Linked DNA regions of Canis lupus familiaris. The protein of the gene in region 2 binds, or shares a complex with, the protein of the main gene of each other region. Links are inferred from orthologs where the notes say so. Each region holds a gene or a part of one and is shown on either strand. Other genes may lie near its edges.

The links.
Region 1: the proteins of TIMM29 (region 2) and TIMM10 are in contact, whole or in part, in a cryo-EM structure (PDB 7CGP), measured with the Homo sapiens proteins. The link is inferred for Canis lupus familiaris from reciprocal best matches to the Homo sapiens genes TIMM29 and TIMM10. Residues at the interface, in NP_612367.1 of Homo sapiens: Asp181, Asp183, Ile184, Asp186, Phe189, Leu192, Leu196, Arg197, Val199, Gln203, Leu204, Ser206, Asn209, Glu210, Leu212, Phe213, Asp214; in NP_036588.1 of Homo sapiens: His30, Arg31, Lys32, Cys33, Pro35, Pro36, Leu43, Ser44, Lys45, Gly46, Glu47, Ser48, Val49, Arg53.
Region 3: TIMM29 (region 2) and TIMM22 share a complex: the UniProt entries of both Homo sapiens proteins name them as parts of the TIM22 complex. The link is inferred for Canis lupus familiaris from reciprocal best matches to the Homo sapiens genes TIMM29 and TIMM22.
Region 4: the proteins of TIMM29 (region 2) and AGK are in contact, whole or in part, in a cryo-EM structure (PDB 7CGP), measured with the Homo sapiens proteins. The link is inferred for Canis lupus familiaris from reciprocal best matches to the Homo sapiens genes TIMM29 and AGK. Residues at the interface, in NP_612367.1 of Homo sapiens: Tyr145, Gln146, Cys149, Arg150, Tyr151, Leu152, Gln153, Arg155; in NP_060708.1 of Homo sapiens: His33, Asn36, Arg39, Arg40, Cys43, Gln44, Gln47, Asn51, Lys82, Pro86, His89, Leu90.

What each region holds. Positions count from the first base shown.
Region 1 is NC_049239.1:39,104,465-39,111,742, reverse strand, and holds TIMM10 (mitochondrial import inner membrane translocase subunit Tim10), read right to left. Parts: upstream 4,826-7,278; 5' UTR 4,325-4,825; intron 3,912-4,324; 5' UTR 3,870-3,911; coding exon 3,799-3,869; intron 1,927-3,798; coding exon 1,725-1,926; 3' UTR 1,473-1,724; downstream 1-1,472.
Region 2 is NC_049241.1:50,723,084-50,730,558, forward strand, and holds TIMM29 (mitochondrial import inner membrane translocase subunit Tim29), read right to left. Parts: upstream 3,807-7,475; 5' UTR 3,581-3,806; coding exon 3,487-3,580; intron 3,411-3,486; coding exon 2,722-3,410; 3' UTR 979-2,721; downstream 1-978. Other genes in the region: protein YIPF2, read left to right, coding at 4,002-4,032, 4,368-4,522, 4,617-4,697, 5,598-5,685, 6,928-7,044, 7,136-7,302, 7,380-7,475. UniProt on the Homo sapiens protein: Component of the TIM22 complex, a complex that mediates the import and insertion of multi-pass transmembrane proteins into the mitochondrial inner membrane.
Region 3 is NC_049230.1:44,795,750-44,803,180, reverse strand, and holds the start of TIMM22 (mitochondrial import inner membrane translocase subunit Tim22), read left to right. Parts: upstream 1-3,655; 5' UTR 3,656-3,977; coding exon 3,978-4,212; intron 4,213-6,484; coding exon 6,485-6,681; intron 6,682-7,431. Other genes in the region: thymosin beta-4, read right to left, coding at 220-354. UniProt on the Homo sapiens protein: Essential core component of the TIM22 complex, a complex that mediates the import and insertion of multi-pass transmembrane proteins into the mitochondrial inner membrane. In the TIM22 complex, it constitutes the voltage-activated and signal-gated channel.
Region 4 is NC_049237.1:7,354,545-7,361,239, reverse strand, and holds part of AGK (acylglycerol kinase, mitochondrial), read left to right. Parts: intron 1-3,783; coding exon 3,784-3,931; intron 3,932-4,372; coding exon 4,373-4,470; intron 4,471-6,695. UniProt on the Homo sapiens protein: Lipid kinase that can phosphorylate both monoacylglycerol and diacylglycerol to form lysophosphatidic acid (LPA) and phosphatidic acid (PA), respectively. Does not phosphorylate sphingosine. Phosphorylates ceramide.

The DNA.
Region 1 (7,278 bases), on a different chromosome or scaffold from region 2:
AGAGGATTCGTCCCTGACACCCACTTGTCCCTACTCTGAAGGCACTGCAGCCACAGTGGCATTAGTGTCAACCAAAATCCCACCTAGAGAGAGTGAGCCATTCTGAAAGCTGCCCAGCTCTCCAGGACACTTCAGAACTGGAGGCACTGGTCTCAGCAAGACAGCAAGTGTAGCAGTCAGCCCCTGCTCCTCTCATGACACTTCAAGCAAGCAACCACTGCTCTGAGCACCCCCCTGCCTACTAGGTCCCCTTAGCCCAGCTGAATGGAATAGGCGTTTTATTTGTACATATTACCTCCCTAGAAAAAGAATCCCAGGATTTTCCTTCCTGTGTGTTTTCATCTTGTTTCTTCACAGTCCATGATGCCAACTGAGGTTGTCAGGACAATAAAACCAAACTGGCAGGACAGGACGGGAGCCATTTTTCTAGATCTTTGAACTGGATATCAAATCTGGGGCTGGTCACTCCGCACTTGTTAAACCTGCCCGTGAGGTTCACAATTTTCCCAGCTCTGCAATTATCCATAAACTCAAATTTGCCAATGTAACCATGCTTCATCATCACAAGTAGAAACCAGACAATGACTTTGGAGCATGGCCTAATCAGAACCTGGCATTTGCCTCTTTTCAGCATTTTTTTTTTTTAAGATTTTATTTATTTATTCATGAGAGACACAGAGAGAGAGAGAGAGGCAGAGACTCAGGCAGAGGGAGAAGCAGGCTCCATGCAGGGAGCTTGATGTGGGACTCGACCCTGGATCTCCTGGATCTCCAGGATTCCGCCCTGGGCTGAAGGTGGCGCTAAACCGCTGAGCCACCTGGGCTGCCCTCTTTTCAGCATTGTTAATGCTCTTGTGGAACATCTGCCAGGACATTCACATGCACCAATACTGCGGCCCAGAAAGATGGTAGAAAGAGCTAGATCAGATACCACATGCAGAGTGAGGAGTGCAGTCCCTGATTCAGGTGAACAGTGAATGGCAGTGGTTTTCACTTACTTCCTGATCACTCACATCACACACAAAGCTGAACCCTTCGTATGTTTCATGTTGCCATTTAGAATCCAGGGACTGGCTTGGCTACTTCCTTTTCAAATCCCATCTCCTGTTACTTGCTCCTCTAAATATTCCTTTATTATCTGGAAAACTGCCCACCTGACTCCACTTAAATTTTAAATTGTTAAACACATGTACACAGCTAGTATTTACTGAGCACTTCCTTTGTCCCAGTTAGCATTCTAAATGCCATAAACGTATTAAACCATTAATCTTCACAACCACCAGATGATTATCCTCATTTTCACAGATGAGAAAATTAAAGCACAGTGAAGTGACATGTTCAGCAAGTGGCTGACCTGGAGTACAACCTAAAACTTCCCACTAGTCTGTGCTTTTAAACACGTTAGACTCCCTCTGCTGGTGGAGGCTGTGTCTGCTGCCCCTGCTCCCAAATGCCAGGCAGACTGCTTTCCGTGTGGTAGGTGTCAACAAATCTGTTTTAATATATACACACACACATACACGTACATACACAGTCACATCACAGTGTGACAAATACCCCTTCTCCAACCGGGGAGAGTAACTCTACCATACTCTGGGTTCCTGGAGGCTCTCCAGAGGGAGCCGAGGCCCGGGAGTCTTCACAGATGACACCCAATAGGGGCACTTTTATTAGGCGAGTGGGAAGGGGCAGGGCACACCTTGGGGTGTATACTGTCTGGGGCCTCACACGGGCCCAGAGCTCTGCTGCACTCTCTTCATCAGCTCTTCATCCTGCATAGACAACTCTGTCAACTTTTTGCCCATCCGCTCATGGATGTCCAGGTACTTGGAGACACAGCGGTCCAGGCACACGGACTCGCCCTTGGACAGTTCTGCTTCCTTGTAGTGGGGAGGCACGCACTTCCTGTGGCAGGCACTGGTCATTCTGGAGGGGAAGGAAGGGCAAGGTCAGCTCAGCAGCATCTTGAGGCAACCAGGAACTCTCCATCATGCCTGCCCTGCTAATTTCACATCCCAGGAAGGCAGTGTAAATCCTCAGTTCGCATCTTAACTGAGAAGGTCCTTGAGAGTGCTCACCTGATCTGAGCCCAAGTTTATTTAAACAGGAGCCATTAGTTGACTACTGGGTATGTTCCAGGCATCATGCTAAGTGCTTGACATGGCTGGTTATGCAGTCCTTACAATGACCCTGTGAGGCAGGCACAATCTTTATCCCCATTTTACAGATAAGGAAATGCAGGCATGGAGAGCCTCAGGATCCTGTAAAGCTGGGATATGAACCCACAGGACCTCATGGCCTGCATTTTTAAATTATTTAAATATTTGGAAGTATTCTAATATACAGCCTTCAAGATAAGCCATCAAGAGAAAATACCATGGAGCTGAAGCCAATAAAACCAGAAAACATGTGGACTGCTTACTTTGTACTGGGCATGATACAAACCCAATAAGAGCTTGTTATATACATTTCTTTTTTTTAAGAATTTATTTATCTATGGGACGCCTGGGTGGCTCAGTGGTTGGGCATCTGCCTTTGGCTCAGGTTGTGATCCGGGGATCTGAAATTGAGTCATCACGCTCCCTGCGAGGAGCCTGCTTCTCCCTCTGCCTGTGTCTCTGTCTCTTTCTCTGTGTCTCTCATGAATAAATAAATACATCTTTAAAAAAAAAAGATTTTATTTATTTATTTAAGAGAGAGAGAGTGAGCACAAGCAACGAGAGGGGCAGAGGGAAATGGAGAAGCAGACATCCCACTGAGCAGGGAGCTGGACGTGGGGCTCGATCCCAGGACCATAACCTGAGCTGAAGGCAGACACTTAACCGACTAAGCCACCCAGGCACCCCTTGTCACACATTTCTACATTTAACATCTATAATGTCTCCTTGAGGTAGGCACCATTATTATCTCCATTTTATTTATTTATTTTTTTACACTTGATCTTAGCCAAAAGGATTAGAAGCAATATTTATTCATTTATTTAAAAAGAACTAGTATTATGTATTTGAGAAAGAGAGAGCGAGCACTTGCGCGGGCATGTGTGTGGGCAAACAGGGGAGAGGGAGAGGGAGAATGTCAAGCAGGCTCCCTGCTGAGTGCAGAGCCCAATGTGAGGCTCAATCCCATGACCCTGAGATCACGACCTGCAATGAAATCAAGAGTCAGATGCTCAACCAACTGCACCATCATGTGCCCCACCTCCATTTTATAGACAGGAAAACCACTAAGCAGTCCAAGTGACTTGCCCACGGCCACACTAGTGGTGATTGGCGCAGTTATGATTTGTTCCCGCATCTGCCAAATGGTTGTGGGCACTCGTTTGGAGTCAGACCGAGGTCCTGGTCCTGACATTGCTACTGACCAACTGTGAGCCCTGTGAATGTTATTTAACCTCTAGAAGCCTCCATGTCTTCACCTTAGAATGGGACAACTAAGACCGACCCGGTGGATCATTTTGAAGATCACAAAAGATGAAGGCGCGTAGAATGCTCAGCATGTGCCCGAGGTGGAGTAAGAGTTTAAGAAATGTAAACCACCAAGCGGGCTGCGTGCTGTTTGCCACAAAGGCAAACGCTCAACCGTTCCTGAAAGCCAACCAGAGCTTGGACTGGGGCTTCTCTCGCTTGCCAAGTGCATTCCAACCTAGATGTCCAACTCCTTCTAGCGACCCGTACCGCGTCTGCATTGGCCCTCAGCCACGAGGAGCGTAGGTGGGGGTGCGCACCCTCCGACAGGTGCCCTGAGGAAGGGTGACCTAGGATCACTGTCAAAGACAAGGAGCGCGCTGTCGGCTCTCACCTGTTGTACATATCGGCCATCATCTCCACCTCCAGCTCGGCAGCCAGCTGCTGGGCCCTGAGCGGATCCATCTCAGCGCTGCGCCGTGGGAAAGATCTCCTGGCCTCCTAGTCCTGGGAGCGGACATCACCGTCAGCTTCGAGCCCTCCCGTTCCGTTTCCCATCCCAGGGGGACGTAGAGGATGCGGAACAATCATAGGACACCGGGCGGGCAGGGGTCACTGACCTCAGTGGGCTCAACTATCCCATCTCACAGATATGGAAACTGAGGCCCGGAAGGGGAACACAGCACGTCAATGGAGGGGCTGGAAATCGAGCCCTGGCGCCCCAGCCCCTCGTGGCCACTCTACCCAGGAAAAGATCTCGGGACCGGAAAGGAACACTGAACCGCGGGGCCTGAACCTCCAGGGCCCTGGGAATTCGATCACACGCGGTGCTAAAGGTCCACGGGTCCCGGCCCAGGGGCTGCACCTCTGACGTGGCGGCGAGGTGCATCGGGGTCACCTTGAAGCGAGCGGTCACTTACCACGGCCTGGGGCCAGTCACTGTGCCCGCGGTGTCCTCAACTTCGCGCAAACGCTAGACAGCCGCCGCACGCCCAGGTAGGCTAAGGCGGAAGCACGTGGGTCACTTCCGGGAGGGAAGTCCCGCCTCCCCTTTGATCGGACTCGCTTCCGGAGTGAAGCCCCTACGAGGCGGCGCGGGGAAATCGGCTACCATAGAGAGGAGCCGCCGGCCGTGCCCGAAGGCGACTTGCAAGGGCTAGAGGGGACGCCAAAATACCATAGAGGCTTGGGCGCAGTGCAGAGCGCCTGCAGCCTGGCGGTGCCGTCCCCAGGGTTTCGGCGGAGAGGTCACAGTGCGACTGTCTGTAGGCGGGCGCCGGAGGGCGGGGCTCCGCGAAGCTTGGCCGCAGCCCCCGAGGCTCGACGGCGGGTCACAGACCCCGGCGCGGCGCGGAGAAGGAAGGACGCCCTCCAAGGCCGTAGTGTCTGTGCTGCTCGTTACGGTCGCCCGGGCCGCTCCCAGTGCCCCGATGCCCATGCCTCGCTTCATACCAAGCAAATCAGAACCTCTGGGAGCAGGACGCAGACTTCAGTAAATGTTTCAGTTGACCTCGGGCGGTTTCTTGGTGCAGCCGAGGTTGCGAGCCAGAGCTCCCCGGACGGAGGGAGCGCAGCGGCCCGCAGGTGCTAAGCTGTCTCCGGGCTCGCAGGAGGACGAGCCGGGTCCGCGCAACTTCCAGACGCCCCGGCCCAGAGAGATGAACAAGAGCAACGTTGGCTGCCGCCGGGGCTAACCTAGTGCATCAGAGCGAGGAGGAGGAAGGGGCTGTGAGCTGCTCTCTCCAGACCCCGTGCGTGCGTTGCTCCATCTGAACCCCTACACCACAGAAACCCGCCCCCAATCCTTTTGTTTCTCAAGGGATTTCCCAGTAAACAAAGTGTACAAGATGCAAAGCGTCCGCTGCCCATTGGAGGAGGTGGGCCGGACGCTGTATGGCTGGTCACTGTATGCTTCCCTCACTGCCCAAGAAAGTCAGGATCCTAAATTCAGCCCTCATGTCTCCTCCAAGGACTCCTCTTTCGCAAACCCGGTGCCCCAATCCTTGAAAATTAAGCTAGAGGTGCCTGGGTGGCTCGGTCGGTTCAGGGTCATGAGACAGAGCCCTGCCCTGGCCCCCAGCTCAGTGCAGAATGGGCTTGAGATTCTCGCCCTCTCCCTCCTCTGCCTCTCCCCACGTGCACATTTGAGCGCGTGCGTTCTCTCTCAAATAGATAAAATCTTTTTTAAAATTAAGGTATAGAAAAAAAAAGTAAGGTATAGGTCTGCCCCAGTGGCTCAGCGGTTTAGCGGCGCCTTCAGCCCAGGGTGTGATCCTGGAGACCTCGGATGGAGTCCCACATAGGGCTCCCTGCATGGAGCCTTTCTCTCTGTGTGTCTCTCATGAATAAATAAATAAAATATTAAAAAAATAATAAAATAGGGGCGCCTGGGTGGCCCAGTGGTTGAGCATCTGCCTTTGGCTCAGGGCCTGATCCCAGATTCCGGGATGGAGTCCCGCATCAGGCTCCTTGCATGGACCCTGCCTTTCCTCTTTCTGCCCCCCTCTCTCTGTGTCTCTCATGAATAAATAAATAAAATCTTTAAAAATAAAAAAGTTAAAAACTAAAAATAAATAAAATAAATATTTCTCAATTCATAGACACACACTTTAAAAAAAATTTAAGGTATAACAGGGGCCCCTAGCTGGCTCAGTCAGTAGAGTATTCAACTCTTGATTCCAAACCTCCCCCCACCCCCCACCCAGCCATCCTCCTGAATTTGAGCCCCACCTTGGGTGTAGAGGTTACTTAAAAAAAATTTTTTTTCAATAAAATTAAGGTATGACATCTATACAGGAAAATGACTAAAATACATAAAATTTAAGCTTAATTTTTAAATATATATTTATGCTCATAAGCACCACTCAGATCAAAATACAATGTATTTCCAACACCCTTAAAAGTTATCTTATGTTCCTGACCAGTCAATACCGGCTCTCCCAAAGTTAACCAGTATTCTGACTTCTATTGCCTATTCTTGAACTTCAGGTAAATGGAGTCATACACTATTTGCTGGTTTGTGCCTGACTTCTTTAGCTCAATGTAGCGTCTAAGATTTCATCCACATTGTTGTGTGTAACCATTATTCATTCTTTTTTATTGCTGTCTAATGTTAGATTGTATGAATGAGCCACAGGTAATTTATCCATTCACTGTTGATAGATTTTTGGGTTGTTTCCAGCTTGGGGCTGTTAGGACAATGTTGCTGTGAATACTATTGTATGTATGTTTTAGTGGACACATGTTGTAGTGGTTTTTGCTTTTAATAATATAGTCAACATATTATGGAATATAATTGCATGGGAGGGACACCTGGGTGGCTCAGCGGTTGAGCTTGCCTTCAGCTCAGGGCATGATCCCAGGGTCCTGGAATGGAGTCCCACGTTGGACTCCTTGCAAGGAGCCTGCTTCTCCCTCTGCCTATGACCTTGCCTCTCGTGAATAAATAAATGAAATCTTTAAAAGAAAAAAGAAATCGCATGGGAAAACGAGTTCTTACAAGTGTAATCTGTTTCCTCGATAGGATTTTTATTAGAAAAAAAAAAGGATTTTTATTAGGTGTTACGAAAGCATACTATATAATTCCATTTAAATAATATTCTCAAAATGACAAAATTATAGAGACAAAGAGATTAATGGTTACCAAGGGTTAGAGCCATACAGGTGAGAAGAGGGAGGAAGGTGTGCCTATAAAGGGGTAGAACAAAGGAGATCTTTGTGGCAATGGGATGGTTATCCACCCAGATTGTGGAGATATTTATATGAATCTTTCTTTTTTTTTTAAGATTTCATTTATTTACTCATGAGAGAGACACAGAGAAAGAGAGAGAGGCAGAGATACAGGCAGAGGGAGAAGCAGGCTCCATGCAAGGAG
Region 2 (7,475 bases):
CCAAAAGCAGATGCTTAACTTACCGAGCCACCCAGGCACCCCCGAATTCATTCGTTCTGTCAGTTTTTTTTTTTTTTTAAAGATATTATTCATTCATTCATGAGATAGAGAGAGAGAGGCAGAGAGACACAGGCAGAGGGAGAAGCAGGCTCCACGCAGGGAGCCTGACGCGGAACTCGATCCCAGGTCTCCAGGATCACGCCCTGGGCTGAAGGCAGGTGCTAAACCACTGAGCCACCCGGGCTGCCCTCTGTCAGGGTTTTTTTGATGGGGTCTTTAGCGTTTTCTATGTCATCTGCATATAGTAAGTTTTACTTCCTCCTTTCCAATTTGGATGGCTTTTCTCTTTCTTACCTAGTTGTTCCGGCCCAGGTCAATCACAAAGCTGGTGTGAAAGCTGAGACCCAAACTCTATTTTTAAGTCCCACTTCTTCCCCAGACCCTAATGCCCTTATGAAGAGAAAGTTTGTCCACCTTGCTGTTTCTGGTACTGGGTGAAGCCTGGGGGATCTCTTCTGGGCTGACCAAAGGATGAGGAGCCAGTCCTGCACTGTTTCCCTCTCCCCAGCAGGACCAGACAAGCTTCTGCCCACAATGAACACAGGCATCATCCCATTTAACTCTCTCAGCATTTGCTGGGGCCCATACTGGACTGAGCACTAGAGGGTGTTGGGAGTTCAGCAGCGAACAAGACCATCCTTTGGGAGCCTGTGTACACCCCAACACCCAGTCCTTGTTCCATCTACCAGTTCCAGTCCATGAGCTTTACAACTCAGAAGGCAAGAGGTACTAGAGAGGGAAGCAAAAATATGGTAAGACTCCACTGGGAAAAGCCAATCTTGCAACCAAAGACAAAACCACATAGACTTTAGGCCTACACTAAGCCCCTAAATCCCTAGAACACTGAGAGCTGTTTAGTTTGTTGCCAACAACTCCTCACAGCTGTAGGGGGACTGCACAGAACACACTCTGGCTGAATGTTAGAAGAGGCATTTAATAACCAACACAAGCAGTGAGCAAGTGCAGCTCTCACTGATCACGGTGAAGAACAAGTCTCACTTTGATGCTGATGTGTCTTAAAGCTTTCCCTGAAGTTGGTTAATATCTGTCTTGAACAAAAACATCCGGATTTAGGCCCAGAGCCTTTGGCAGGTAACAGTATAGGACCATAGTTTAGTATCATTTGCTTTTTGTTCCCATTACGTTTCATTTCTATATTCACTTATTTCAGTATTCAAGTTTTATTTATGGCTAATGATAGCAGCATTTAATAATTCCTGGCAAGATGTTGCTAGGATCCAATACAGTACCCCAAGTTTGAGGATTAAGGCACAGGGTTGGGAGTTACCATTTGAATCATAGCTCTGCCACAGCCTTGGAAAAATCAGCTTTTTGAACATCACTTTTTCCATTGTAATGAAGATGTTGATTTACAAGATGCTCCCCTGTCCCAAAAATAAGGATATAAAAATCACCATGTGTCCAGCATACCCACAATGGAAAGTCTGAGTACCAAAACTGAATGACAAAATACATGAACTCAAACGTCACAGCAAAGATGGTTGCTTCATCTCATGGGGGTTTTTTTACTTTTCTTTTTAGTAATCTCTATACCCAATATGGAACTTGAACTCATGACCCCAAGATCAAGAGTCAGTCTTGCTCTTCCCACTGAGCCAGCCATGGGTCACCTAGGTTCACGGAGGTAATCTCATTCCTCTATCCATTTTTAAAGTAGGGTTATCACAACCTAAATACCAGCTCTGTAGACTAACCTATTCCATTCAATAGTATTCTGGGTTTCCAGGGTGACTGAAATAATAATCTGTGATTCCATAGTTAATTCCAGATTTTTTAAAAAAATGCTTTATCCTTCCAAATCAGTTTGATATCACTGTCATATGTGGGGGGGGAAGGTTTTTGCAGAAAGATTCCCTGTAAAATCTATAGTCATACCACTGGCAATCTCCTAGTTTGCTGTAGTTTATTGTAAAACATTACCATTTGGGGTAAACTGGGTGAAGGATACACAGAATGTCTTTGGGTTATTTTTCCACTTTCTTCTGAAACTGCTTTTTAACTTTATTTTGAAATAATTAAAAATGCTACTCATGAAAATGAAAGAAGATAAACATTGCAATTCCAAATTTAAAGTGAAAATCTGGGGGCACCTGGATGGCTCAGTGGTTGAGTGTCTGCCTTTGGCTCAGGTGGTGATCTTGGGGTTCTGTGATCGAATCCTGCATCCGGTTCACCACAGGGAGCCTCTGCCTCTCTCTCTCATAAAATAAACTCTTTTTTTAAAAAAATAAAAATAAAGTGAAAATCTGAATGGTATTAGGAGAGCTTTGGAGTCACCTGACAAATGTGGTACCTCGGTGGAGGGACTGGGAAGCTCAGTAAAAAAGGCTTATATATATATGTATAAGGCTCATTATTAACTCTGGCAGTGATAAACATTACCTGGTCTTGTCGCTTTGCTCTCCCCCAACTCCTTGACCCAAGGTTAGGCCTAGACCAAGCTAACTCTGAATCAGCTTCAACTAACAAGGAACCAGATGAGCGGGAGAGAGGCCGGAAAGGTTGTGAAAACCCAGGGAAAGAACACTGTGCACATAATTTATTTAAGTCACTCTGGATCTGAGGCTAAAACACAGCGGATGCCATCCCGGGTGGACGGTCAGCCAGCGCTCCGCGCCCTTCCGGATCCAGGCCTGGGTTTCATCTGGGGACCTCCGACCGCACCAGGGAGTCGGCCTGGCTCAGGGCGAGTTTGTCCTTCTTCTCCTTCTGCAACACCTGCTCTTCCCACAGCGCCTGGTCAACCTGATCGTCTGTGAGCACGACGGGCTTGTACTTCTCGTCGAAGAGGCGCTCGTTCGTCTCAGAATGCAGCTGATGGGGTCCGACGACGCGCAGATGGGCCGGCAGGTGCTGGAACTCCTCGTCGTTGATGTCGCAGTCGCGCATCCGGGCGGCCAGCACCCACCAGCGGCCCACGAAGCCCACGTCCAGGATCCGGTCCGGGAAGTCGGCCCAACGGGGCTGCAGGTAGCGGCAGCGAGCCTGGTAGAGGCTGGCCTGGGCGTCGACGGGCGCCTCGTACACGAGCGCGCAGAGGCCCAGGTTCACGTGGCGGAGGCGGCCGCGCCCCCGCAGCCAGAGCAGCCGCTGCACACAGTCCTCGGAGGCGCGGTTGCGCGTGGCGGGGGCCAGCAGCAGGAGGATGCCCGACGCGTCGAGCAGCGCCTCCTCGAAGGCCGCCTCGCTGGGCGCCAGCGCGCAGCAGGCCGCCGCGCCCCCCAGCAGCCCCGCGTACACGGCCGCCCGCCAGGGCCGGGCCCGCGCCGCCGCCGCCGCGTCCCCGCAAGCCTCGGCGTAGTCTCGGAGCAGCACGCGGGCCCAGGCGCCTGAGGGAGAAGCGGAACACACAGGTGAGAGCAGGCCGCCGTGGCCACCCTCCCGCCGCCGCCCGCCGCTACTCACCCAGCCGCGCCCACACGCCCGGCTTCGCGGCCGCCGGGCCACCAGATCCTTCACGGTTTCGGGACCACAATCTCTTCAGAGCGGCCGTCGCCATTCTCTTCCGGCTCAGAGTCCGTTTTCCGAAGCGAAACGCCTCGTGTGCGAAGTAAAAGGCCCGGGGGCCTCCTGCGCCAGCGTCGACGGTGCCGGAAGTGGCTTCCCATCGGAACAAGACGGAACTCGGACCGCTGCCGGATGTTGCTGTCGGGTCGGAGCGCGGCCGGCGGAGGCCGGGAGGCGGGCCGCGCAGGCGCAGAGAGCCTGGGCCACGCCGGCTGAGGGAGCCTCAGGTGAGGGGGGCGGGGTGCACCTGTGGGGCGGGGGCGGCGAGGTCACCCCCCGCTCGGTGCCCTAGCGGCCTGGCTGGGCTCCGGGCTGAGGGATGGACCTGGGGGGAGGGGCACCGAGTGTGGTTGGGGGCGGGCGTCATTGGCCTCTGTCCTCAGAGCGGGATGCGGTGACGCCCCTGAGCGACCATGGCAGCGGCCGACGAGCTGGCCTTCCACGGTGAGTGGGCGGCGACCTGGCCCGAGCTCCTACTCCCTCCGCCGCCCGGACCCTCCCACCCGGGTGCCCGCCGACAGCCGGCCTGAAGCCCCGACCCTGACCCGAACCCCGCTCCCAGCCTGAGCCTCGGTCCCAGACCTGACCCCATCCCGGAACCAGCCTTAAGTGGTGGGCCCTTGTGGGGCGGGGGGACACACCTTACAACTCCCCAAAACTTAGGAAGCTGGGCCCTTAGGTAGCCCCAGGTGGAGTGTTGTCCCCCAGCCGAGCAGTGGGCCAAACCAAATTGTCTTGACTCCCAAAACATGCCTTTGTCCCGTATTCCTTCTCCATAGAGTTCGAGGAAGCTTCTAGTCTGCTGGCGGAGACCCCAGATGCGGCCACCACGAGTGGCCGCGGTCAGCTGGCCCCACAGGGGCACGTGGCGGTGGAGGTGGACTCGGGTGGTATCTACGGATCTGAGGAGGCTGAGGAGAGTGACAAGACTGCGGTGAGAGCCTCAGGCCCTGCCTGCACCCAGCCCTGCCCCCGCGCTCCGCCCAGGCGGGAAGGGCAGCCGCTGAAAGCCCATGCCATCCCTGCAGCTCCTGCAGGAGGAGAAGCAGCAGCCCGGATTCTGGACCTTTAGCTACTATCAGAGCTTCTTTGACGTGGACACATCCCAGGTCAGGCCCGGGAAGCTGGTGGGATGGGGCCTGCGGTCACACGGGGGTCCAGCCACTGTTCACTGAGCCCTTCCTAGACACCAGAATGCTGGTGATGCCCAGGCGGTAGGACACGGGCCCCTACACGGGCTGGTGGACTGTGGTGCGCTGTCAGGATTATGGTGTGATGGGCTCGTGGGAACACAGTTGCATATAGTCACGCAGGTTAGAGAAGGGCCTCCTGGAGGAGGTGAGGAATGTGCAGAGACGTGAAGGGAAGCACGTATGGCAGGTGCAGGGAACAGCAGATGCAGAGGGCCAAAGGTGAGAGAAGGTGTCACGAGCTACCTGTCACTTGATCTGGTTGGAGATTGAGGTGGGGGACAGGCAGGCAGAACCCAGACCACAAAGGCCTCGTACGCTGTGCTAGTTTGAGTTTCATCGTGAGGGTGCTGGGGAGCCACAGAAGGGCTTAGAGCGGGAGAGGAATGAATTGAATTAGGAAGGTGGCTCAGAGACCCCAGGCCTTAAACCTGGGGTGCAGAACAAGGAATATAGTGGAAAGAGAGGTAGGCAGGAGGATGCCCAGGATTTGACTGTTCCCCACCTCACGGTCCAGGCATGTCACAACATAACAGGCTGTTCAGGGCAGCCAAGCTAAGAGAAGGGAGAAGCAAGGAGAAAGATGACCAACCCGGAAGAGTCCTTGAGAGCAGTAGCGCGCTAGGGTATTGGGGCTGGCCAGGGAAAGGGGCATCAAAAACTCAGGGAACATCCAAGCTTTTTCAGGCAAGGAGATGGGAGCTCAGCAGGGAAGGAGCCCCTAAGGGCAGGAGCTTAGCCCTTTCCTCTTTCTTTGGTGGAGGGATGTGTGTGTTGGCCCTGTGCAGGCTCCCATTCTGGGCCCCACCTTGTCCCCAGGTCCTGGACCGAATCAGAGGCTCACTGCTGCCCCGGCCTGGCCACAACTTTGTACGGCACCATCTGCGGAATCGGCCAGACCTGTATGGTGAGTGGTGGTGTACGTTCAGCTCGATAATTCATTCAGCACATGTGGACCGAGTGCCAGCCCATGGATTCCAGCTGAGAAGAAAGTAGGGGCACTCCCAGAGGGCAGGAAGCACGCATTCCATCTGGGGAGACAGATATATAGAGGCTGCTGAGGGCAATGGGGCTCAGAAAAAAAGCAAACAGTTTAGAGGATGGGAGTTGCCATTTTGCATGGTTGAGACAGGACATCTCTGAGGAGGATGCAAGAATGGGCCTTGTTAGGGATGAAGGTGAGGAGACATAGGGGAAGAACATTCCAGAAGGGGGCACAGGTCCAGTGGTGGAGCAGTATTGTCACTGGAGCAGTGAGCTGCATGAGGTCGTAGAGGTGACAGGAGAGACTGTGCAGATTTTGTCCGTCTCAGTGAGAAGGGGTCTTAGTTAAGGACTCTGAGGCTTCCTCTGGCCATGGGGGGCGGGGGGGGGCAGGGGCAGATGCCAGGAGACCAGAGAGGCAGTGCCCGCCACCATGGTACAGGTGTGGGGTGATGGGCCCAGCCCCAGGTGGAGAGCAGTGGTTGGACTGTGAAAGAGATCTCATGGCAGAGCCGACGGGACTTCCTGACACCCTGACACGCCTGAGGTCGGGCGGGAGGAGAGAGGCAAGGGTGGCTCCTGGATTTCCATCGGGACTGCTAGAAGGATGGGACTGTCATTTACCAACTGGAAAGGCTGGGCAGGCTGGAGTTGGAGAGACCTAGACGTGACGTGGAAATGCTGACTATAAAGCCAGTGGTTCATGGCACAGACCAAATTTGAGACATTTGGGAGTCATCAGCCTGGAGGTGACCTAAACCCCTGAGGCGGGACAAGATGGTGCAAGGGGTGAACACAGAGAGGATGGCTGAAGACCGGCCCTGGCTGGGTCCCCGTTATTGAAGGGGTTAGGGAGTCCCAAAGGTTGGGGAATAGCCAGGAATGTGACATGCCAGAAGCAGGAGCATGAAGTCCTAAAAGCACATGGGGAGTGGTTCCAGAAGAAGGAAGCGATCAGCTACAGCAAAGGCGATAGAAAAGTCAGGAAAGCTGAGGGACTGAGGGCCAGCTCTGGGATCAGCCAGCCCAGGTCATCAGTGACGGGGGGTGGTGTGCAGGTAGCCCCGAGCCTAGAAAGCAGCTGGGGTCCCAGCACAGTTGAGATGGGACAAGTCTCCTGTTCGGGGAACCCTGGGCCCCTTCCCACACCCTGCCCTGCCCACAGGCCCCTTCTGGATCTGTGCCACGCTGGCTTTCGTCTTGGCCATCACTGGCAATCTGACGCTGGTGCTGGCCCAGAGGAGGGACCCCTCGATCCACTACAGCCCCCAGTTCCACAAGGGTGAGTGAAGTGGGCTAGGCCTGGCACCTGCCGGGGCTGGGAGTGCACAGAGCCCCAAGGGTGACTGCCTGCCTTGCCCCGCGCTCCACAGTGACTGTGGCTGGCGTCACCATCTACTGCTATGTTTGGCTGGTGCCGTTGGCGCTGTGGGGCTTCCTGCGGTGGCGGAAGGGTGTCCGGGAGCGCATGGGGCCTTACACCTTCCTGGAGACCGTGTGCATCTACGGCTACTCCCTCTTTGTCTTCATCCCCACCGTGGTAAGTGCGGCCCAGGGGTGGAGGGCACCAGGCATCATGGGGAAGGCCTGGTAGGCAGCTGCCCATGTCGCCCCCAGGTCCTGTGGCTCATTCCGGTCCCCTGGCTGCAGTGGCTCTTTGGGGTCATGGCCCTGGTGCTGTCAGCCGCCAGCCTGGTGTTTACCCTCTGGCCT
Region 3 (7,431 bases), on a different chromosome or scaffold from region 2:
GTTCTTTTCCTTCCCTGCCAGCCAGCCAGACAGGCAGATGGGAAAGGCAGGCGCCTTCGTTGTCAGTAGTTCTCCATTCTTTGATGTGAAAAGGAGCAGCACAGTCATTTAAACTTGATCCAACCGCTTTGCATCTTACAAAGTTAAACAGCTAAAAGAAGTAAAATAAGAAGGCAATGCTTGTGGAATGTACAGTGCATATTGGCGGCGCACGCCTCATTACGATTCGCCTGCTTGCTTCTCCTGTTCAATCGTTTCTTTCGAAGGCAGTGGATTTTTCTCTTGCGTTTCGGTCTTCTTCAATTTCGACTTATCGAATTTCTCAATCTCAGCCATATCGGGTTTGTCAGACATGGTTGCAGAGGAAGCGGAGCGAGGCGCACGAGCGAGCTGGATAGAGAGGGATCCGGTCTGCGCTGTGGTCGCTGGCGAATAACTAATTCCTCTTTAACTGGGCACCCGGGTGGCTCAGTGGTTTAGCACCTGCCTTTGGCTCAGGTCATGATCCCTGGGTCCTGGGGTTGAGTCCTGCATCGGGCTTCCCGTGGGGAGCCTGCTTCTCCCTCTGCCTATGTCTCTGCCTCTTTCTCTGTGTCTCTCGTGAATAAATAGAAATTTTTTTTTTTTTAATTTTCCTCTTTAACTGTTCCCTGTTCTCTCTGGCCCACTGAGATGCTTCCCTGTTGCCTTGTGATCGGGACAGACAATGTGACGTGGGGAACCAAACTGTAACACGAGGCTGCTGGATTCCCAATGATGCCAGGGCCAGATAGAGTCCCCAGACTATTGGCAGAGGTTCAGCCCTGGGAAACAGACATGGGAAACCACTTTTCACTTTCAGAATATGCTTGGAGAGGTTCAAGTTTTCCATCAGAAAACTACCTATGGAAGGAAATTGGGTGAGTGGAGAGAGATACCAGATCAGTGTCTGTAATTGTTCTCTCTCCATCTATGATCCAGGCCAAGGATGTTCCATAAAAGGCTCCCTCATTCATGTACCTTGGCCACATGGAATTTCTTCACATGCTGACCTGGACCTCACCTGAACTCTAATGAAGACCCTTCATTTGGGGATTGATTATTACTCTCTAAGTAGTTCCATGGGTTAATTATTTAGACCATTCCTTGTTTTCCAAGGCCACCTTACCTGGGACTTGCCAAGGGTGGGTGGGGGGTGGCTGTCCCAGGTTCTCTCAGATCCAACTGTAGCTCTGAAGATCTTGGCATGGGGCATCTGAGTGGCTCAGTTGATTAAGCATCTGCCTTTGGCTCAGGTCATGATTCCAGGGTCCTGGGATCGAGCCCCTTATCAAGCTCTCTGCTCAGTGGGGAGCCTGCTTCTTCCTCTCCCTCTGCCTCTTGCTCTGCTACTTTTGCTCTCTATCAAATGAATAAACAAAATCTGAAAAAAGAAAAAAAGACTTCAGCATAAATCAGAGCTCTGGGCCCTTCATTCATCTGGAAGGAAAGGGTGGTTGCGAGGGCATGTTGAGTTAGAGGTGCTTATGGGAAGTGTCTGGTTCCTGTGTTTATGAGAAGGGTCTAAGCTGAAGATGAAGATTTGAGAGTCATTTTTTTTTTTTTTTTTTTTTTTAGATTTGAGAGTCATTAATGCAATTTGAGGTGGAGTAGAAGCCACGAAGATGAGTTGCTCAGGTAGAATGAGCTGCGGAGGAAGACGGTAAAGGATGAAGCCCTGAGAGGACCAACAAGAAAAGGCCACGCAGAGGTGCGTGCAAAGGAGATGGAGCATCTGGAGAGGCTGTAGCAGAACTAGGAAAGAGGGGCTCCACTAAAAATATGAAGAAACTTCAGACAAGAAGGGAGACAACAGTGTCAAATGCAGTACAGAAGTCTAGTAAAATCAGGCCTGAATTAGATTCAACAACTAGGGGACTCCTGGTGGCTCAGTCGTTTAAGTTTCTGCCTTCGGCTCAGGTCATGATCCCAGGGTCCTGAGATCGAGCCCTGCATTGGACTCCTTGCTCAGCAAGGAGTCTGCTTCTCCCTCTCTCTCTGCCTCTGTGTTCTCGCGCGCTCTCTCTCTCAAGTAAATAAATAAATCTTAAAATAAGAGATTCAACAACTGGGAAATCCCTGGGGACCCTCAGACCAGCCCACTCAATGGCTTGGTGGGAACAGAATCAGGGTGAAGCATGAGGTAGGAAAAGACATTAGGGTTCAAAGCCAAGGGTCGAGAAAGAATTCTTGAAATGTCTTTGGTGCAAAAAGGTGATTTTATGAAAGCACGGGGACAGGACCTGTGGGCAGAAAGAGCTGCTCTGGGGTCATGAGGAGCGGCCTGTTCATATACTTTAAGTTGGGAGGGCTTAGAGACACCTTAAGTCTCTAAGGAATTTTGGAAGCAGGGTTTCCAGGACCTTGATGGGGTAGCTATTGTTGGGAAAAGGCCATTTACTACTGTCTGATACAATAATGTCATGGGCCCCTTCAGATGAATATTGTTAGGTCATATGCTTGGGGGATGATCTCCAACATGTATCTTGGGGGGTTAGAGATAAAGAAAATTTCTAAAGGAATTTCTATATGTTAAAGTAGACTTACAGGATCCTAAGATTCCCTTCTGCCCTTAACAAAGTATCAACATGGAGGCATTGAGTCCCTAGAGGAATGTCACTCTGCCTGTTTCAAGGTCTTGTCACTGGGCTGTAGGGAGTAAGAAAATTTAGCAATTTTTCTTCTGCCTTTGTTTTCCACATCAAAGCATATGCTGTGCTGGGATGCACTGAGAACTTCGGGTACCAAAGAAATATCTCTGCCCACCTCAACTGGCTATGCTCACCACCTGTTTCCATTAAGGTTTCTCTTAGCTAAAACACTCAAATACATTGCTAGTCTGGACCAATGCAATAGTGTGGAATCTATTTTAGTAACATAAAAACTAGTGCAAAAGTTTTTCTGGATTCATGCATAGTACTACCTTACAGTTTACCTTCAGGTTCTGAGTCTGCAAGCTGGTGAGCACTTTAATTGGTTTCACATAATCTAAACCTGGCTTTCCAGGGCAATGCTAGTCCCACATCACCAATTCCACCGACAACAATAACTGGCTGGAGCGTGGGTAGGGGCCCCGGCCTTGCCCTCTCCACCTCCTTTTCTTTTTTTTAATTTTTTTTTTATTTATTTATGATAGTCAGAGAGAGAGAGAGAGAGAGAGAGAGAGAGAGAGGCAGAGACACAGGCAGAGGGAGAAGCAGGCTCCATGCACCGGGAGCCCGACATGGGATTCGATCCCGGGTCTCCAGGATCACGCCCTGGGCCAAAGGCAGGCGCTAAACCGCTGCACCACCCAGGGATCCCTCCACCTCCTTTTCTTACACTTAGCTAGCTTCGCTCATTAGTTCACTCATTTGTTGGGCCCCTTCTCTCTCCGCAAGGGTTTAATTGTCAAATAAAACATATATTGCATACACTTATACCAGGCTTTTACGTTTATTCACAAAGCACTTTCCACCATTTACCTCTCACCACCCCTGCGAGGAAGGAGTAGGCTGGAAGGGCAGCGGCGCGGTGCGTGCGCCCCCTGGCGAGGCTCCGGCGCGCTGCAGCCTCGCGGGGGCGCTCCTCCGCCCCCTCCCCGCAGTCGGGAGCTCCAGACGAGGCCCCGAGGCGCGCGCCCGCGCAGAGCCTCCTGGGAGATGCCTGGGCTATACAGATCGCGGTACCCCCCGCGCTGCCGCCCTGACGAAGAGGGCGCTTTCTGGTGACTCTGAATCTTGTTCATTAGGGCCGTTTGGATGCTGCACAAGCCTGACTCGGTATTGACAAGGGGCTTTTGGGGAACATGGTATCTCTTTCGCCGGAGGCACGAACGGACTTCGCTGGCGTCGTTTCTTGCACTTGCTCGTTGTGGCGAATCTGCCGTTGCGTCACGGGGGCTAGGCGCGCCCTAACGTGAAGCTTGCGGAATCTGCTGTGGGAAGAAGAACGCCAGGGTTTCTCGAGCATCTGCAGTCATGGCGACTACCCCCAGTACGGGGGCCTCCGCGCCGGAGGCAGCGGGTTCCGCCGAAGCCCCGCTGCAGTACAGCCTTCTTCTGCAGTACCTGGTGGGCGACAAGCGTCAGCCCCGGCTGCTGGAGCCCAGTAGTCTGGGCGGGATCCCGAGCCCGATCAAGAGTGAGGAACAGAAGATGATCGAGAAGGCGATGGAAAGCTGCGCCTTCAAGGCGGCGCTGGCCTGCGTGGGAGGTGAGGCAAGACTAGGGGGCCCGGTGGGAGGCTGAGGGCTTGCACGGCAGCGGGGTCCTCTGCCAAGAAGACCACGGCCTGGGAGGCGAGGAGCCTGTGGACCTCGCTCCTGACTGCACCCCTGCCTGGATCCGTGAGCTCGGGTGACCCCTCTCTAGGCCCTGAGGTTCTTTTTCGCCCCTGGAAATTGGGTCAGAGAATCGGTACCATATGGGTTGGGGCCTAAAGGTTATAAAATGCCTGCCTTCATTCGTTGGTTCGCTTTTAAATAAGCATTCTTTATTTTTTTTTTTAAGATTTTATTTATTTATTCATGAGAGACACAGAGAAAGAGGCAGAGGGAGAAGCAGGCTCCATGCAGGGAGCCCGATGTGGGACTCGATCCCGGAACTCTGGGATCATGCCCTGAGCTAAAGGCAGACGCTCAACTGCTAAGCCACCCAGGCGTCCCTAAATAAGCATTCTTTCAACGAGTTGTTAAAAGTAACCGTCACGTGCTCAGGGGTGGAGGGACAGGGTTAGAGACCAGAGCCAGGTTCTCATGAAGCTCACATTTTAATATATATATATATATATATATATATATATATATATATATATATATATATATATATATATATAGAAACAAGAATGTTGGGAAGGAGCCAGGCAGGAAAGTGGAACATGGGGGAGCAGCAACTGCCAAGGTCCGGTAGGAGCTGGCTTCCTGTTTGAAAAACAAAGGACAGGGGTACCTCTGTGGTTCAGCAGGTTAAGCATCTGCCATCAGGTCGGGTCATGACTCCAGGGACCTGGGATCCACCCCGCCTTGGGGCTCCCTGCTCAGCGGGGAGTCTGCTCTCTCCCTCTCCCTCTCCCTCGGCCCCTCCCCCAGCTAGTGCTCTCTCCCTAGCTCGCTCTCAAATAAATAAATAAAATCTTAAAAAGAAAAAGAAAACAAAGGCCAGTGTGGACAGTGTGATTAGATGGTGGGAAACAAGGGGGAAAGACTCCCCCCCCACACACACTTTTTTTTTTTTTTTAGACCTTTTGAAAAAGGATTTGAGAGTGTATGGTGTCCCTCCTGTAAAGAGGTTGGCCACATTTGCAGATGAGTTGAAATCTCATGAGAATGAAAGACAAGAAACAAATACAGTGGGAGTGCAGGTATGTAGTAGAAAGAGAGCAGTATTTTTATGGTTTGGGGAAGGCTACAAGAGGTGAGACTGCAGCTGTATCTTGAAGGATTGAGAGAATGGGGGTAAAGAGGAGGAGAAATGCCCTTTCAAGTTGGAGGTGGAGTTGGGGCTTTGGGCTTTTTTGTCTTTAGGCATTAGAGCAGTAATTGATGCACATGATGACCCAGCATAGAGTGTGGTGAAGAAAGAAAGTGTGGGTGGGAAGACGGCATAGGGAATTTGCAAAACTGAGGTGCAGTGCAGCCTGGCCTTGGTGTTTGTTCATCATTATGTCCGACCCTACTACATCACTTACATATTTGTTAAAATGATGAATAAGTCTTTGTAATGCTCTAGAGTGGGAGTGATACAGGCCTTAGACTAGGATGATAACTGTGAACATAGGGTTGTAGGGGAAAGCAAAGAACCGGTCAGAAATGCCCTTCAGCTTTGGAGTTGGAGTGCCTGGAAAGAAGGAAGAAAGTCTGGAGGGAAGGTGCCCATGACTTCATTAAACATATTTTGACCTTGGGGTGATGAGAGGACATCTATATAGAAGTGTCTAGCAGGCTCAGAAAGATGGGGACAGCAGTGTATGGTTGCTATTTGGTAGCTTTGTGACCTTAGGAAAGTTACTTAACCTCCCTGAGCCTCAGCCGATTCAGCTGTAGAATGGAAAGGGTAATAGTATCTACCTCACGAGACTATTGTGAAGAATAAAAGGAGCTGTGACTATAAAGCATCAGAGTGATTGGAGCATGGTACTCACTAAATGATAGTTATGAATGTCACCATTGTCAAGGGAGTGATTTGCAAAGTTGAGAGTTGAATGTATGAGTACAGACAGAACAGAAGGTTAAAGATCGAATCTTCAGGAATGTTAGAAAATGAAAAGAGGAAGAAATCAAAGACTGAGAAGAAGATGTCAACAAGATAGTTTACGGCTTGTGTGATGTGCAACCAGATAACTGGAGAGTTTGGTAAGATGGAGTAGGGGCGGTAGGTAGGGGGTGTCCTCTTTGCTGGTAGCCAGCCAAATGTGCAATTCGAGTATGACCTCATTACAGTAACCCAGAAAACATGCCAAAGAAGTCTTCATCTGTGTGTCTTTTTAGGATTTGTCTTGGGAGGTGCCTTTGGAGTGTTCACTGCTGGCATTGATACCAATGTGGGCTTTGACCCTAAGGATCCTTACCGTACACCGACAGCAAAAGAAGTTCTGAAAGACATGGGACAGAGAGGAATGTCTTACGCCAAAAATTTTGCCATTGTGGGCGCCATGTTTTCTTGCACCGAGTGTTTGGTAGAATCTGTAAGTGTCTCTGCCTTCTGAGAAAGACTTGTACCATCTTATGACTTCTAAAGAGCGCTATTAATTAGAAAGCAGAGCAGAAATGTCTGATACTTGCTAGATTGAATTTTCATTGAATAGTTCTGAATGTAAACTTTTTGTGCATTTATTGCATTTACTTGGGCTTGCATTGTTTTTTACGTTTCTTTGTAGGCTAGAATTTGGTTAATGATTTATTTTTTAAATTTTGTAAAATTCTAGTTAACATACAGTGTAATATTAGTTTCAGGCATACAATATAGTGATTTCCACACTTCCTTTTTAAAATTTTTTTTATTTTTTTATTTTTATTTTTTTTCACTTCCTTTTTTTTTTAAAGGTTTTATTTATTTATTCATGAGAGACACACAGAGGCAGAGGGAGAAGCAAGCTCCATGCAGGGAGCCCGATGTGGAACTTGATCCCGATATCCCGGGACTGCGGGATCACATCCTGAGCCAAAGGCAGACGCCCAACTGCTGAGCCATCCAGGTGTCTGATTCCACACTTCCATACAACACCTGGTGCTCATCACAAGTGCGCTCCTTAATCCCTATCACCTATTTCACCCATCCCCCACCCCCTCCCCTTCTGGTCACCATCGGTTTGTTCTCTGTAGTTGAGTTTGTTTCTTGGCTTGCCCTTTTCTCTCTTTTTTTCCCTTTGCCTATTTGTTTTTGTTTCTTAAATTCCACATGAGTGAAATCATATGGTATTTGTTTTTCTCTGACT
Region 4 (6,695 bases), on a different chromosome or scaffold from region 2:
AATGTTGCCATAGAGAAAAGCTGAACCGTGTATATTAATGAAAATGCTAATAGAAAAGTCATCCTTATCTGTGGATGACATCCTGTGTTCGGCTTTTATGCAAATCAAAGCAGTATATTCAAAAGTTGGCAGGTCAATCTGAAAATTGGCAGATGAAGTTTGTAGTGAAAATATTGGTTTTAATGTTAATATTCAGAGTGTCAAGGGATTTTCTAATTATAAAAGTGATGTATGTCCATTGCAAAACATTTGGAAAACATAGCTCCCCGTATCTTCTAAATAAATTCTTGTATGTTAAAGAAATGTAAAAAAAAAAACAAAACAAAAAACAAAAAACCCAAAAAAACAAAACCCTAAAGTACTAGGGTGACCAATTTATATGATTATGAAAATGAACTTGGAGGGCAAAGCCTCTCTACACTGAAGGCAGACTGTTTCAGTAAAATGCATCTTTACTCTTGCTTAAGGGAATAATTTCAGTGGTGGAGTAGTGGGTGCATTTAAGAAGAGTAGCAAAGCTCTACTACGTTAAGTTGTAGAGTCAGGGAGAACATAAACTGTTTCCAGCATTTCTTCAGTAAACAGTTATTAAATATCTAGTGGGGCCAGCCCTGCTGTCTGCTTGGAGTGTTCAAAGTCAAATAAGACAGGTTTCCTCCCCTCCAGGAGGATCCACGTGCAGGGAGTGTGAGGGGCAAGTAAGCCCCGTGGTCTGGCAAGTGCAAGGACAGCGTATGGAAAGATAAGGTGGGGGCAGACAGGAGGCAGCAGCCCTCCCAGGGCAGAGAACACTTATACTGGAGTTTGAATCTGTACAGGACTAGAGCAAAGGCATTCCGGGTGGAGGAACCAGGCTGTGTGAAATGGCCGTGATGTCACACAGCTGCCAGGGCAGCCGAGCAGCAGGGAGGGGGTGTCGAGGGAGGGCTAGGCATGGCAGGTTTGGATGTGGCGTCTGACTTTTACCATGAAAGCGTTGGGGAGTTGCTGAGTCTTAAGCAGGGGAGAGATAGGACCAGGTCTGCATTTTAGAAAAGTTATTTGTCAGGAGTGTAGACAAGAGATTGCCTGCCGGTAGTTGAAGGCAAGGGCACCAGACCAAAGATTGTTCAAGGCAGGTGAGAAGCGATGAGGTCCAGCCAGGATGCCAACTGTGTGTGCTGACAGCAGAGGGTGGGTGAAAGGGGTCGTGAGGTGGCCCCTTTGAAAATGGGGGATGAGAGGAGTCCCTGGTTTCTGATCGGGGCCTAGTTCACTAACTAGTTTTCTGTTAACACTGACAATATTAGAGTAGGATCAAATTTGTGGAGAAAGGGGATGTTTTCAGTTTGGCACATACGGAGGTCAGCCTCCCTGTGGAGACAGGCGGAGATTCAGTTGTGACTTAGGTCTGAAGACACAGGTGTAGACGTCCTGAGTGCTGGAGTGGTGTTGCAACTCGGGGTTTGACGAGGTTGCCGTGTAGAGCAAACGAGCCCATGGTTAGCCCCGAGGACTGTAGGCATTTAGGGAACCACGGAGCTGCCCGTGGAGCACTGAGGGGAAGGGGGTCCCCATGAGGGTCACACACACGCCAGCCCCGGGAGTGGGAGTGTTGGGACAGGAGGGCACCCACTGAACGGGGCAGCCTCAGCCTCGGAAGCTCTGCTCACCTCCGAGGGGGCAGCTGAGCCACATTGAAATGCCAAGACAGTGGAGGGGGACCGCTCCTTCAGGAGGCCTGACTTGGAGAGGAGAGAGCTAGGAAAGGCCAGAGCTAGTGAGAAAGACAGGCCATGGACTGTTTAATTGCGTAGAGAGAGCGCAGTGCCTTTCTGCCCTGAAACAAAAGACAGGAAGAAAGGGAAGAGGTTGGGGCACCTGGGTGGCTCAGTGGTTGAGCGTCTGCCTTTGGCTCAGGCCATGATCCCAAGGTCCTAGGATCGAGTCCCGCATTGGTCTACCTGCAGGGAGCCTGCTTCTCCCTCTGCCTGTGTCTCTGCCTCTCTCTCTCTCTCTCTGTCTCTCATGAATAAATAAATAAAATCTAAAAAAAAATTTTTTTTAAAAAAAGGGGGGGAGCAGGTGAGAGACAAGAGACAGACGCAGAGCCTGACTGAACCTGCAAAACTCAAACACAGGTCGGAGGGCATGGGGCCCTTGGTACTGGGCCAGCCTGGGATGGAGGAGGGGATGGGAGAGAACTAGAGCCAAGGTCCAGATGCAAACAAATGAAGAGAGGGTTAAGGCAGTTCCCACTGTCGTCCTGACTCGCTGAAGCATGGGGAGCCAGGGAATATGTTGAAAATGAGGTGGGCGCTAGGGGTTGGGGGGATCTTAAAGAGAGATGAAAATAGGGAGGTTTGGAAGGATCAACAAGTAGTATTGAGGACCTGAGACCAAAGATTTGTTGTGGCACAGGTGCGCCCTGTTCCCTGAGTCAGTACCAACCTGGAGTATTGTTTGCCCATCTAGTAACACTGAGCCACAGAGTGCAAGTACAGAAACCTAGTGACAAGCTCGATCCAGAATAGGGGCTTCTCAGGGCACATATTATGTAACACCCAAAGACACATGAGGACCAACAGTGATGGGAAAAGGGTGATTTAAAGTAATCAACTTCATTAAGCACTGAGAGAAAATGGTGTATCCGGGCCTGGAATTCTCAAAGTGATTAGAAATTTGGTGTGGGGTCGGAGCTTCATGGGCCAAAAATCACACCCATCTCTTCCTCTTCTGAGTTTGAACCAAGTTATGAAAGCCAATGCAGGAGCTAGGCAGATGGAGATCAAAACACCAGCTTTATAAATGTCAGCAGGAGAAAAGGACACAGCTTAGATAATGCGGTCACAATCCGATTTCCAGATACTCCAAATTGAATTCATCCCCTTAAAATGTCTCCTTTAGGGCAGACACTGCTATAGGAAGACAACTGTATGAGGAAGCAGTGAGTCCCCAGGACAGCCACATTCAGATGGAGAGGGAGAAGGGGAGGGAGGGAAAAGCCAGTTACTCCTTTATAATTTACTGCATGAGAACCTGAGACCAAGGCAGTGGGTCACCCCAAGAGACCTGTTCAGTACAAAGGAAGCAGTCAAAAGAACAGAAGAATATGGGGTGTGGCTACAGAGTAAGACGTCAAGGTTTTAGGTTTCTAAGGTGGAATAGTTCTGGGTAACGAGAAGGACCAGGATGTGGCCATGGAAATAGGTGGCTGGGGACTTAGGGATGACATCAAGGGTTGAGTGGCTAGGGTGTTGTTTTAATTACTCCTGTGGACACTAATGAGACTGGACTGGGGTGTCAGGAAGTAGAAGACAAAAATCTAGTCTGAGAATGATGGTCTTTGAAGCCTTGGCTGGATGGCAAAGCTAGCCTAAACCATTCTGGGCTCCGTGTGGAATAGGATTCCAGAAGGGAAGAAGATATTTGATGCTTCGATGCATTTCATTTTTGTGTCACCATCTGTAAACCAAAGATAAATTTATTATGGAATGATTCTATGCTCATTCATACTGATTTTTTTTTTTTTTTTTTTTGAAAAAGTATAAGCAGTGGTGGTTAGTCTGCTTGGACTTTTCTGCTCTGTGATTGTGAGAGCAGTGGAGGCAGCACTCACCGAGTTCATGGTTTTCAAGATCAGCCTTCAGTAGAAAAAGAAAGCTTGAGGATCCCATGTTCCAAAGCAGAGATAAATTATTAATTTGCTTTCAGGCAGGTGTAGGTAGATTAACCTTTGCAGAGACCCTCCTAGAGTTTGGACATGGGTGTGCATGACAAGGTTTTCTCTCTTCACGTTAAAAGGAGTGGCCTCAGACACATCAAGCCTCAATCTCGTACATGGGACCTACAGAGAGACCTCCCAGTGGAGCAGAAGAGACCCCTCCACGGCCATCTTTGTACAGGAGAATATTACGAAGGCTCGCATCGTACTGGGCACAGCCGCAGGATGGTGAGCCACATTCTGGTTGCAGAGCCCTGGTCAGTTCGGGATGTCCGAAAGCAGACCCCCAAATCAGTGTGAGACATGTGGTACAGGAGAGGCCTTTCAAGAATCATTGAATTTTCCTTCTGTATGCCACAGAGTGGGACCCAAACCAACACTGTGCCATGAATGGAAATAGCCTGGGTCATTGGTGACAAACCATGGCTCCCTCTGTCACTGACCTTTATGTTACTGTGGCTGCTTTAATAGATGTTTTGTGTATAGATGTTCCATTTGAGCCTGGCTCTTCATCCTGTGTGTAAGAAACTATGAAATAAATAAAACTGAGGTGGAGAATCAGGGGGTAGGTTTGAGTGGCCAAGCCAAGCAGCCGGCAGTTCGCCATTGGTGGGAGAGTGGTGAGATGTTAGCAGAAGAAATTGACCTAAATCTAATGCCCCCACACAGCCCTTTCACAAGAGGTGAGCCCCAAGGTCTGGAAGGAAGTGCAGCTGTCCACCATTGAACTGTCCATCACAACGCGGAACAGTCAGCTTGACCTGACGGTAAGTGTGCCATTTTACTAGCAAAACATTTGGTATCTGGGAAAAGTGACAAAGACTACATGGCCTTCCGCTAATCGGGTATTTTTTTTTAATCGGGTATTTTTTATTTTTACCCTTTTGGGGGAGAGAGGAAAAGATTGGGGAAAAGAGGATGTAGTGTGGTTTTAAGGAATAATAGCAATGAGAAGAAACAGCAGAGTGAAGCAGTAGCTTCAAGATTTGCAGGGTCTGAGACAGTATTCTGGGCGCTGCTTAGTAGCCACCAAGCTTTCAGCCTTTAGAAATGGAAAGTCAGCCTGCTCCCTTTTGTCTCTGGAATAAAAAATTGAAGAACTTTTACTTGAGCGAGTACCCATTATTCTTGTGACTATATTAAGTATGAGGATTTAGGTCCCCAGAAGAAAAAATATATATATACACATATATAGACAGTCTACTCTGTTGACATGCACTGTCCAGTACGGTAGCTGCTAGACCCGTGGCTATTTGTTTTTATTGTATTTATTTATTTTTATTTTTAAAATTTATTTATTTTTATTTATGTATTTATTTATTAAAATATTTTATTTATTTTTTCATGAGAGACACACAGAGGCAGAGGGAGAAGCAGGCTCCATGCAGGAAGCCCGATGTGGGACTCGATCCTGGGACGCTGGGATCATGCCCTGAGCTGAAGGTAGACGCTCAACTGCTGAGCCACCAGGCGTCCCAGCTATTTGAATTACATAAAATGGAGCACTCATTTCAAGTGCCCATTAGCTGTATGTGGCGAGTAGCTGCCACATTGGAGAGCAGATACAAAACATTTCTGTTAGTGCAGAAAGTTCTGGATGGCACTCCTATTGACAAGGCACCAAAAAAATTCTTGAAATAAAGCAGAGGTTGGCAAACTGGTCTGCCACCTATTTTTGTGTAGGTGGCACACAAACTAAGAACTGATGTTACATTTTTAAATGGTTGTGAGAAAAATCAAAGAATAATTTGTGATACACAGAATATGAAATCCAGGTCTCATTCACATAAGTAAAGCTGTGTTGGAACAGCCACATGCATTCACATACATGCTGTCTGTGGCTGCTTTTGTGCCGTGACTGCAGAGTCAAGTAGTTGCCACAGACTCTCTGGCCCAAAAGCCTAAAACACTGACTCTTTGGCCAGAAAGTCCAGAGTTTTCTGACCCCTGCTGTAGGAAAAAACCTAAGAAGTTTGTATTAGCGAGCATGCAAATAGAAAAGTCACCCTGCCCTGTGGGCCAAATCCTATGATGAGGTTTTATGCAGATCCAGGTAGTATGTTTACAGGTGACCAGGTCAGTCTGGAAACTGCATGTGGACTTGAACATGGTGATTGATGAATGTACGCAGGCAGCAGGGAGGTTGACTCTGACATTAATGGAGTATCGAGTTGTTTTCTAATTAGAAAATGTAAGACATGTCTATTGTTTAACATTTGGATAACACAAATTAATTCCAGTTGGATTGAAGGATTGAATTAGGAAAATAAAACCATGAAAGCACTAGAGTGAAATCAAAGTGTTTATCAATATAAGCTCGGGGAGGACCAGGCCTTTCTAAGCATAGTGTCTAAGGCAAAATTCATATTGATGCATTTGTCTACTTAAAACTGAAGAAACTATAAACAACATTTTTAATGACACATTGGGAAAAAGAATGTGATAGAGCAGGAGTTAAAGCTTTCCTTTATAACAAACTATTAAGAAATAGGCAAAGGACTAATATAAATAACAGGCACAGGACAAGAATAGAAATTCACACAGGAAATAAACATGGAAAAATATCTTATATTTGCTCAATATGTACTATATGCTAGGTACTGCCCTGAGAATTTTGCATACTGTCAACTCATGTAATCCTTATAACTGCATCATCAGGGAGATATAACTTTTATATGCATGTAATAGGTAAGGAAACCAAAAAAGTGCCCATATCAAAGAAATGCAAATTAAAATAACAACAGAAGTCCTAAATTAAGCATGCTTGTGTTTGCCATGTGGGTGGGGAAGTGGGCACTCATGCATTTCTGCTGGAACTGCAAATTGCAACACCCTTTCTTGATGGTGTCTTGGGGTCTCTGTGAAGCATCCAAAATAGACTTAATAGGGTCCAAGGGCGTGCTTATATTTCTAGGAATTTCTCCTCCAGGAATAATCAGATGCATATACATATGTAGTGTAGCCATTCCCTTCTTTCTTACATAATGGAATT